2 linked regions of the Saccharomyces cerevisiae S288C genome follow. The gene in region 2 interacts genetically with the main gene of each other region. Each region holds a gene or a part of one and is shown on either strand. Other genes may lie near its edges.

The links. Genes that interact genetically often act in the same process or in processes that back each other up.
Region 1: mutations in SSN8 (region 2) and OCA6 together harm fitness more than expected from each alone (negative genetic interaction), as found in Saccharomyces cerevisiae (3 studies listed by BioGRID).

The regions. Positions count from the first base shown.
Region 1 is NC_001136.10:581,571-585,291, reverse strand, and holds OCA6 (protein-tyrosine-phosphatase), read left to right. Parts: upstream 1-1,826; coding exon 1,827-2,501; downstream 2,502-3,721. Other genes in the region: ubiquitin-specific protease DOA4, read left to right, coding at 1-353; DOS2 (Dos2p), read right to left, coding at 647-1,579; RTR2 (putative protein-serine/threonine phosphatase), read left to right, coding at 2,794-3,384; RRG1 (Rrg1p), read right to left, coding at 3,508-3,721.
Region 2 is NC_001146.8:583,440-587,945, forward strand, and holds SSN8 (cyclin-dependent protein serine/threonine kinase regulator SSN8), read right to left. Parts: upstream 1,853-4,506; coding exon 881-1,852; downstream 1-880. Other genes in the region: KSH1 (Ksh1p), read right to left, coding at 3,163-3,381; EFM6 (putative protein-lysine N-methyltransferase), read right to left, coding at 3,668-4,408. UniProt on the Saccharomyces cerevisiae protein: Component of the SRB8-11 complex. The SRB8-11 complex is a regulatory module of the Mediator complex which is itself involved in regulation of basal and activated RNA polymerase II-dependent transcription.

The DNA.
Region 1 (3,721 bases), on a different chromosome or scaffold from region 2:
TAAAGAGATTTGATAATTTATTAAACAAAAATAATGACTTCGTCATATACCCTTTTTTGTTGGACTTGACTCCATTTTGGGCCAATGATTTTGACGGGGTTTTTCCTCCAGGTGTTAATGACGATGAACTACCAATAAGGGGACAAATACCACCTTTTAAGTATGAATTATATGGTGTAGCATGCCACTTTGGTACTTTGTATGGTGGTCATTATACAGCCTATGTGAAAAAGGGATTAAAGAAGGGATGGCTATATTTTGATGATACCAAATATAAACCTGTCAAAAACAAAGCCGATGCAATTAACTCTAATGCATACGTTTTGTTTTATCACCGCGTCTACGGTGTTTGATTCATTTGAATAAATAACTGAAAACCGTTGTCTATACACTTTTTTTCCCGTTCAACATGGCATATCATTATTTCCATCTAAGGTCAAAGTAAAAAACCCTAAATACAAATGATTTATTTTAACGGTAACAAACGAACTTTTTTTTAGAAGGTGTAAAGATGAGATCACGCCCAGATTTTGTCTTCCTCCTGTGCATCTCTTGGATTGATGATTTTCCTTTCTACCATAATACGTCATGAAAAGTATGTAAATATTTATAGCATTACATATATCTTTTATATGAAAAAAATCACTCATTCCCAGTCATCATCGTCGTCGTCGTCCTTGCTCTCATCCTTGTTGGCGAGGCCAACATGGTCACTAACATCTTTCAATCCCTCTTGAGACACAGCAACTTTCGTCTCCCCTTTAGATTTGTTGTCAGCTACTGCTTCTACTTTGTCATCATCTTCTTCTTCTTCTTCGTCATCCCACTCAACTTCTTTTTCCTCCGTTTCCTTTTCCTTTTTGGACAATATTTCTTTCCTTTTACTTTCTTTATCTAGAATTTTGTTTCTTTGTAAGAAATAGATGTGCCAGAAATCTTTATAGCTGATTTTATGGGGTACGATGTCGTTCATTAATTTGGAGATATCTTTGTCGCCCTGTAAAATAGAACATATCTCCTCAGTTTTTTCATCCACGTCAAACGGGTCCAGTTGCAAATCCATTTTATTGTCTAAATAAACCGATTTATCTTTAGATAATGTCCTTAGTTCGGCTTCTGTTCTATTTCCACCCACAGCAATTTCATTTTCTTTCGAATTCTCATCCTTGTCATTAGAGTCATTTTCTGCAGCATTATCGAAGCTACTGAAGCCAGACCAAAAATTCTTAGTTTTCATTTTGCTCCAATATGACTGGGCTAGACTTTCCACGCTGTGAATATTCTCGTCTAGTTTCTTCAAATACTTTTGTGCAGTCTCTGTAGTTTCATTGCTAATTGGCAAGTTAATTTCAATTCCGTCATCTTTCTCGATTACTAACTTTTTGAATGCACTTGTAGTCTTTTCATATCGTTTATTGACTTCCTCTTCTAACTTTTGGAAGGCCTCATTTGTTTTGTCATCTCGGCTCTGAAGTTCGTTATTTTCAGTGTTTTCTGTTGATCCAGTTTCCTTGGTATGAGAGTTGCTTATTTTATCATCTTCGATACAAGCTACTTGTTCTTCATAAAAGAATTCCATTTTATCCTAAAACGTCGAAGCAATGGAGCTCACTAGCTGTACCCTTATGTTGTGTTCTTTTTTTGTTGCATGACTTCTGCTAAGTGCTTTTTATCATTAATCACCGCTATTTGATGTAAGGCCAAAAAAAATGCGAAAGAAAAAAAGAGACTCTGTTAAGAAGGAAAGGAGTACCAATATAAACTATGGGTTCACAATTGCTATGAATACCCAGTTCACACATCTAGAATAAGCTATATGTATCAAAATGACACTAGTGACTCCGTTACAATTTTCGACTGTACAGCCAAATTTATATAGAGGATCTTACCCACGAGAAATCAATCTCCCATTCCTGAGAACCCTTAGATTGAAATACATATTATCTTTGACACCAGAACCTTTGAGCACTGATCCTCTAATGGTAAAGTTTTGTGAAGAAAATAACATTAAGACAATTCATATAAAATGTCAAAGTGAAAGAAAGGCAGACAAGACCAAACCCAAGATTAAAAGGAAAAAGAAAACAGTTCCTATTGAATACGATGTTGTAGTACGATGCGTTAAATTTCTGATTGATAAAGGGCATTACCCCTGTTATATGCACTGTACGAATGGTGAATTGATAATATCTCTCGTAGTAGCATGTATGAGAAAGTTTTCATATTGGAGTACGGTATCCATACTAAATGAGTTTTTGGTGTATAATTCCAGCATCAATATTCATGAAAGAAATTTCATTGAAAACTTTAACTCTGAAATCGAAGTTGACGATCTGGATATAAAGGATAAAGTTCCCTGGATTACCGTGCGATATATTGCAAGGACAGCCACAGAATCAAAAGATGAGTTGCGTGTTGATGATGCTAATGCGTCTGAAAAAGTTGCAAGAGTAAGTAGCGTGTCAAATTCTTTGCCAAAACTAAAATTTCATAGTATGTAAAATTCAGGGATAAATTCATATAATATTTTGTAAAGACAGAAGCTTCAGGGTTAAGTCTTAGCCGGGCCCTCCAGCATTGATAATCATTTTTTTCAATATCAAATGCCATTGAAAAGTCCAACGAAAATTACATCGACTTTACAAAAGAGACGAGCCGGTCACATTCTAGTATTGGCGAAGATTGGAAGCCATTTATCAACAGCAAGGAGGCATTCTGGAAAAATTGCAGCATATTTAAGAAAAGTGATAGGTTTATTTTTATACTAGAAGGACAGGAGCAACGCAAGCCATAATGCAGATAATAACCACTACGTTCATTCAAAAAGTAATTTTAGGATCACACCAATTACATGAGCAATTATCTATAGTGGAAGCCCGAATGATTGAATCTGCCATAGTTTCAATGCTCACAGAATCATTTTGCGAAAATGAGCAGACATTAAAATACTTAGCACGGCTACTTTCACCGATGTCTTATATGGATGTTATTAATGCAAGAAGGGGAAAGAAAATATGTGGGTACCCGCTATGCTATAAGAGTGCGGCAGAAAATTCATCTGATGGCTTCTTTATCCACTCAATGTATTGTAATAATTATCACAGTAAATGTTCGTTGTATTTAATGAGACAGTTATCACAAACGCCTCTGCATGAAAGGCGAGGCGTGCATTTAACTAGTTACATTAATCTAGAGTTTGATGATATGTACTCGGTAAGCCTTTTAGAAGAATTAGTTGGAAGTGAGGTACCTATAGATACCGTCAAATCGCTGATAACGAGTTTCAAGGATCTTGAGTTTGATGATACCTACAAGAATGAGCCTTTACCATTGGATGTGTACTTTGGACAGTTGACTACTGATGAGGAAACCTGTATAGAATAGGAAGTATAATTAAATCGTCTTCATCAGGATCCTTATCGCGGTCATACGAGTGACTATTTACATAGAAATGGAAGTAACCAGTAAATTTTCTATTAAACTTTCTGATTCACGCAACTTTTGCACTTAAAAACCGTATTTCGCCAAAACACTTGGCAAGTCCCTCCCTTCTATAAAGAGTGTCACATATGGTAATGTTTCTTTGCTCATTTTTCTGAATAGTGTCAACCGTTTGGCGTACATTTCTTTTGACTTTTTATCAAAATATGCTAGTTGGCCACCGTTCTTTAAAAGCTTTTCCTTATATTTGTTAAAGTACTCCACTCTTTGAAAACTTTTG
Region 2 (4,506 bases):
GTTATATAGCAACATATTCTATAAAAGCCTCACTAATAGCTGTGCTGCACGTATGGTAATTAATTCCTGATTCAGAGAACTCAGAAATCCAATACGTTTGCCTTAAAATGGAGGAGCAACTTTTTCTGTGCTAAAAGTTGCCGCTCATGTATTGAAGGCATAATAAAAGAAACCAAATAATTTGTAGAACAAAATGGCAGATAATTGTGCTAGAAGATAAATACTTATATATCGCACCATCGTTATTTTGAGTTTTCTTTTAGTAGTTCGTGTGATTGCAGCAATGCGATCTTTATCCTCAACCTCATTTCACACAAAATCAAGACTATGATGCTGTTCAATTTTACTAGTCCGTGTCCACTTATATATATGCAAAAGTATTATCAAACACTTTAGAAAAGGAAGAAAATGTTTTTGAAATAAGCCAACATGTTCTAGTATTTTAACTTGGGGGGCGTTTAATATTTCTGTTAGTTTATCAATTTGGCCTGCCATAAGAATTTCTGACAAAGGTTTTGTGGTTGCACATACTCTGAAAAATGGGGAAGTTTGAGCCACGGTTCACCCATCTTGAATGTGTGTTATAAGTGGGCTACTGCAGTAGACCAAATTGAAAGGATTTTTTGAACACTGGAGAAAAAAACACTAGGTTCGATTCTTTAAATTTAATACATGTCAAGGTCCGACCCAGCTTTCCACCTCAATATCAAAGCAATTTTTAATTATGCATTATAACGGTACCTATTCTCAATATGTCTTGACGTTCCAATATCATGTTAAACAAAGGTAGTCAAGGACGAAACATTTCCAAAACGGATCATCACCACCATAATGATTGAATTTACAGGCTTAACGGTTTTTAAATTTATTCTTCGCATGATTAAATTGCAGATGCTGGTCTAAGATACAAAGTATGTAGCAGAAACTTTATCCATTGTTCGTGGTACTTGTCCCAATGATCGTATAATGTAATTTGCTCTTGAATCGTATCCATAACCTCCTCAAGATCTACAAGAGATTCTGCCATAAAACGATTAAAAGCTATTTGAACAGGAGAACTAGAATTTTTAGGATCTCTGATGGCTTCAGAAGCCGCAGATGCTAACGATGATCCTTTGGTTGGTTTCCCATGAATGGAAATCGTAATGAATAAACATGCAACAGCGATAATATGAGGAGGGTAAAGCAAATGAACATCATTTATATAACTGTCGTTGATTAAGGACCAACAGTTTTGTAGATCATCTGACGATAGTGTTATTTGAAATGGCGGTTGCTTTAAGACTTGAACAATTTGCTTTAAGGATTGATAAGGGTGGTGGACAATTAAGTAACTTTCCAATTCTTCTAGTAAGTAGAACTCAAACTCAGTAACTTTAGTAGGGTCAGGAGGAATAAATTCGGGCCATAAGGTACGGGCTTCACTTACCAAAGTTCTGATATATTGCGGGCATTCTTCAACTTTGCATGCTAAATATACACACGTAGTAACCAGCATATATAGGTTTATTTCTCTAACTGAAGCCTTTATTAAAAACCTTGATAGATAAATATGTGCTGTAGCCAGTGCATACTGTCTTATATTTAGTCTCCTTCCAAGCTTCATTATCAGGAAATAGCAGTAGATCCTTAGATTATAATCTTTATCATAGTGTAAGTCTCGGTGAGTTATTGGTATATTCTTTGTGATGGATTGTTCGATGCCGTTTTGCTTCGAATCCATTACAATATTCAAACCTTGAGGAAACAGCTGGCACTCCAATAGCCATAACTTCTGCCTCTCTTTAGCCAATGATGCCTTGGTATATTGCCAATGATGCCTTTGTGTAGATGTCCAGAAGCTCCCCGACATGTCTAACTTTTGAGATTCAGATGCCTTATCGCTCTTCAACTAAAGTTTGAGAGGGCATTTTTTGTTCGAACAATATGAGTGCTAACAAGGTTGCTACCACATCAATGAACTCTACTCCTGTATGAACCCTAATTTTCCTTCATGAAAAATGAATTTTCGATGTTTTTCCGTGGATTTTATATTTTTTCAAATATATAAAGGAGTAAGAAAATAACTTTGTTTATCCTATGTTGCGGTAAAGAACTAAATAGTGGTCTTCACCTGTTTTCTAATTTCTTCTCGTTTAAAGTTCTTCAATCCATGACCAAAGAATCGTCACAAATCGAAGCTTACAAAATGGAGTAAAATTTTTTTTACTCAGTAATATGCTTTGGGTTGAAAGTCTCCCACCAATTCGTATGCGGAAAACGTAATGAGATTTAAAAATTTTAAATTGTTTAAATCAACTCATTAAGGAGGATGCCCTTGGGTATTCTGCTTCTTGACCTGGTACCTCTATTGCAGGGTACTGGTGTTTTCTTCGGTACTGGATTCCGTTTGTATGGAATCTAAACCATAGTTATGACGATTGCTCTTTCCCGTGCTGGATCGAGTAACCCAATGGAGCTTACTATTCTTGGTCCATGGATTCACCCCTTTTTATTTTTTTAACAGTTTGTTGTTTACACTACTTTTTAGCAGTGTAAAACTTTTGCATAGTTAAATATGCCGAACTGATCTAATAAAAAGTCTGAATAACTCAGATGAGTTATTTATTGGTAAACTTGTGTAAGAAGAAGATGGAATAGTGAATAATTCATCAAATGATGAAATACCAATGCAACAGAGTCAAGCTCTGAGTTTCAAAAAGAAACATGGACGAGATTGCTTTTTTATTACTGACCATGATTATTCATTACTTACCATTGTTCCTCATTCTATATAATTGATTGGGCACCACGTAAATTCTTGAGCCTTTTCGGTAGTATTCAATCGCAATATGGGGTAGTTTACGGAAGTGCTGTAAATGATGTCTAAAATGAACAACTATGCGTCCTTATTGTGACAATGAATTCCCTTCTTAAATCTCTATAGAGGTCGAATAGATGAATACTCAACACAAAACACTATAAAATAAAAAAAAATACAAAAGTGTTTATATTTTTGCTGTGCGTGCTAGCTCATAGCACCCTTACTTGTACGCTATCAGACGATAGAATTAAAGAGACACTTCGTCTGAATCCACTTATACTCTTTGTTTTAAAAGGTACTGCACCTTCTATGACCTTGATTTGCGTAACTTTAAATCCATATGACTAAGTATCTTCCAATCAGCTGTTAAATTGACTGATGGCCATCAAAATACATGCTAAACTAACATATGGACTGGCCCTTTCACCAACACGTGCCATTTTCCAGAAGGCCCCCAAAACCTCATGATTTTTGTAACGATCTAGGAGAGACGGCCACTGCCCATGAACATAAGAACATGAACAAATCAGTAACAATATCACTTGCAGAAGAGAACGAAAATTAAATAATGCAGACATATTCTGTCGTGGAAAAAGGACGCAACTTTGCAAAGTAAATCGATCCGGCTCTCTAGTTATTTTGCAAACGATGTTTACCGCTGTTCTGTCTTTATCCTTGAGTTGTCGTTGCTCACTCTATTGAAGATCAAAATTTCGCTCAAGAAGAGCAGTCCCACCATGCGTACACCACACTACAAAAATGAATGTTATATCGTTTTTTCATGAATTACAAATGTCTATCGAAAAGTTCATTACTAAATATAATAAGATCAGGATCATTAAGAGATAAATTCACTGTGTCAGGTTACTTCCTGATAAGCTGAAACAAGTGGGTTCTTTCCTTAAGATAATGTTCAAATTTACTAAAATCTGTAATTTCAAGAACGTCAAAATTTCTTTTAATCTTGTTGAAAAAATGTTTATCAGCTTTTCTTCTCTTCTTGTAAGCCATCAAGATTACAGGTGGGTTTATGCAGTGAGTGAGATCAAGTAGTGTTTTTTCTAGTAATGGAAAAGCTTCCTCGAGATACACACAATCAGCTGCCAAAACTAGATCAACGTTATTTGCTTGCATAGCACCTTCTTGAGGTGAGAAATCTGCCGACAGCGGCTCACCCCACCAAAGTTCCCTCGCAAGAACTTCATACTGAACTTCGTCCAGTTCTATATTTCTTTTCAATAGTGGTATCAACTTGTCAATGTCCGTAACATATACTTTAGTGCCATCGTGGAATGTGTTTTTTTCCAACAACCCCACGCACAATCCAACTAAACCTGTACCACTACCCAATTCTAAGACTTTTTTAAATTGTTTCGTACCATTGACCGTCTTACTTAGCAGATGGTCAACTGATTTCTCGAGTATGTACTCGCACAACAGTTCGCCAGCGATCCAGACTTTACCGCCACAACCACTTTCACCGCCATCTTCACAAATTTTCAATGCAGGCAATAATTTTCCACCGAAGGAAAGGTCTGTTTGACCGAGATGCTCCTTTGGCCTAGGAACAACTAGATCTCCAAACCCACCAAATATACTCTCCATACTCAATACCTCACTAGTCGCGTTTTTATAACGTTCTAGGGAAAATTATGGGCCATTTTTTTACATAGAGCCTGCTCATCATAACTTTTGAATTATTT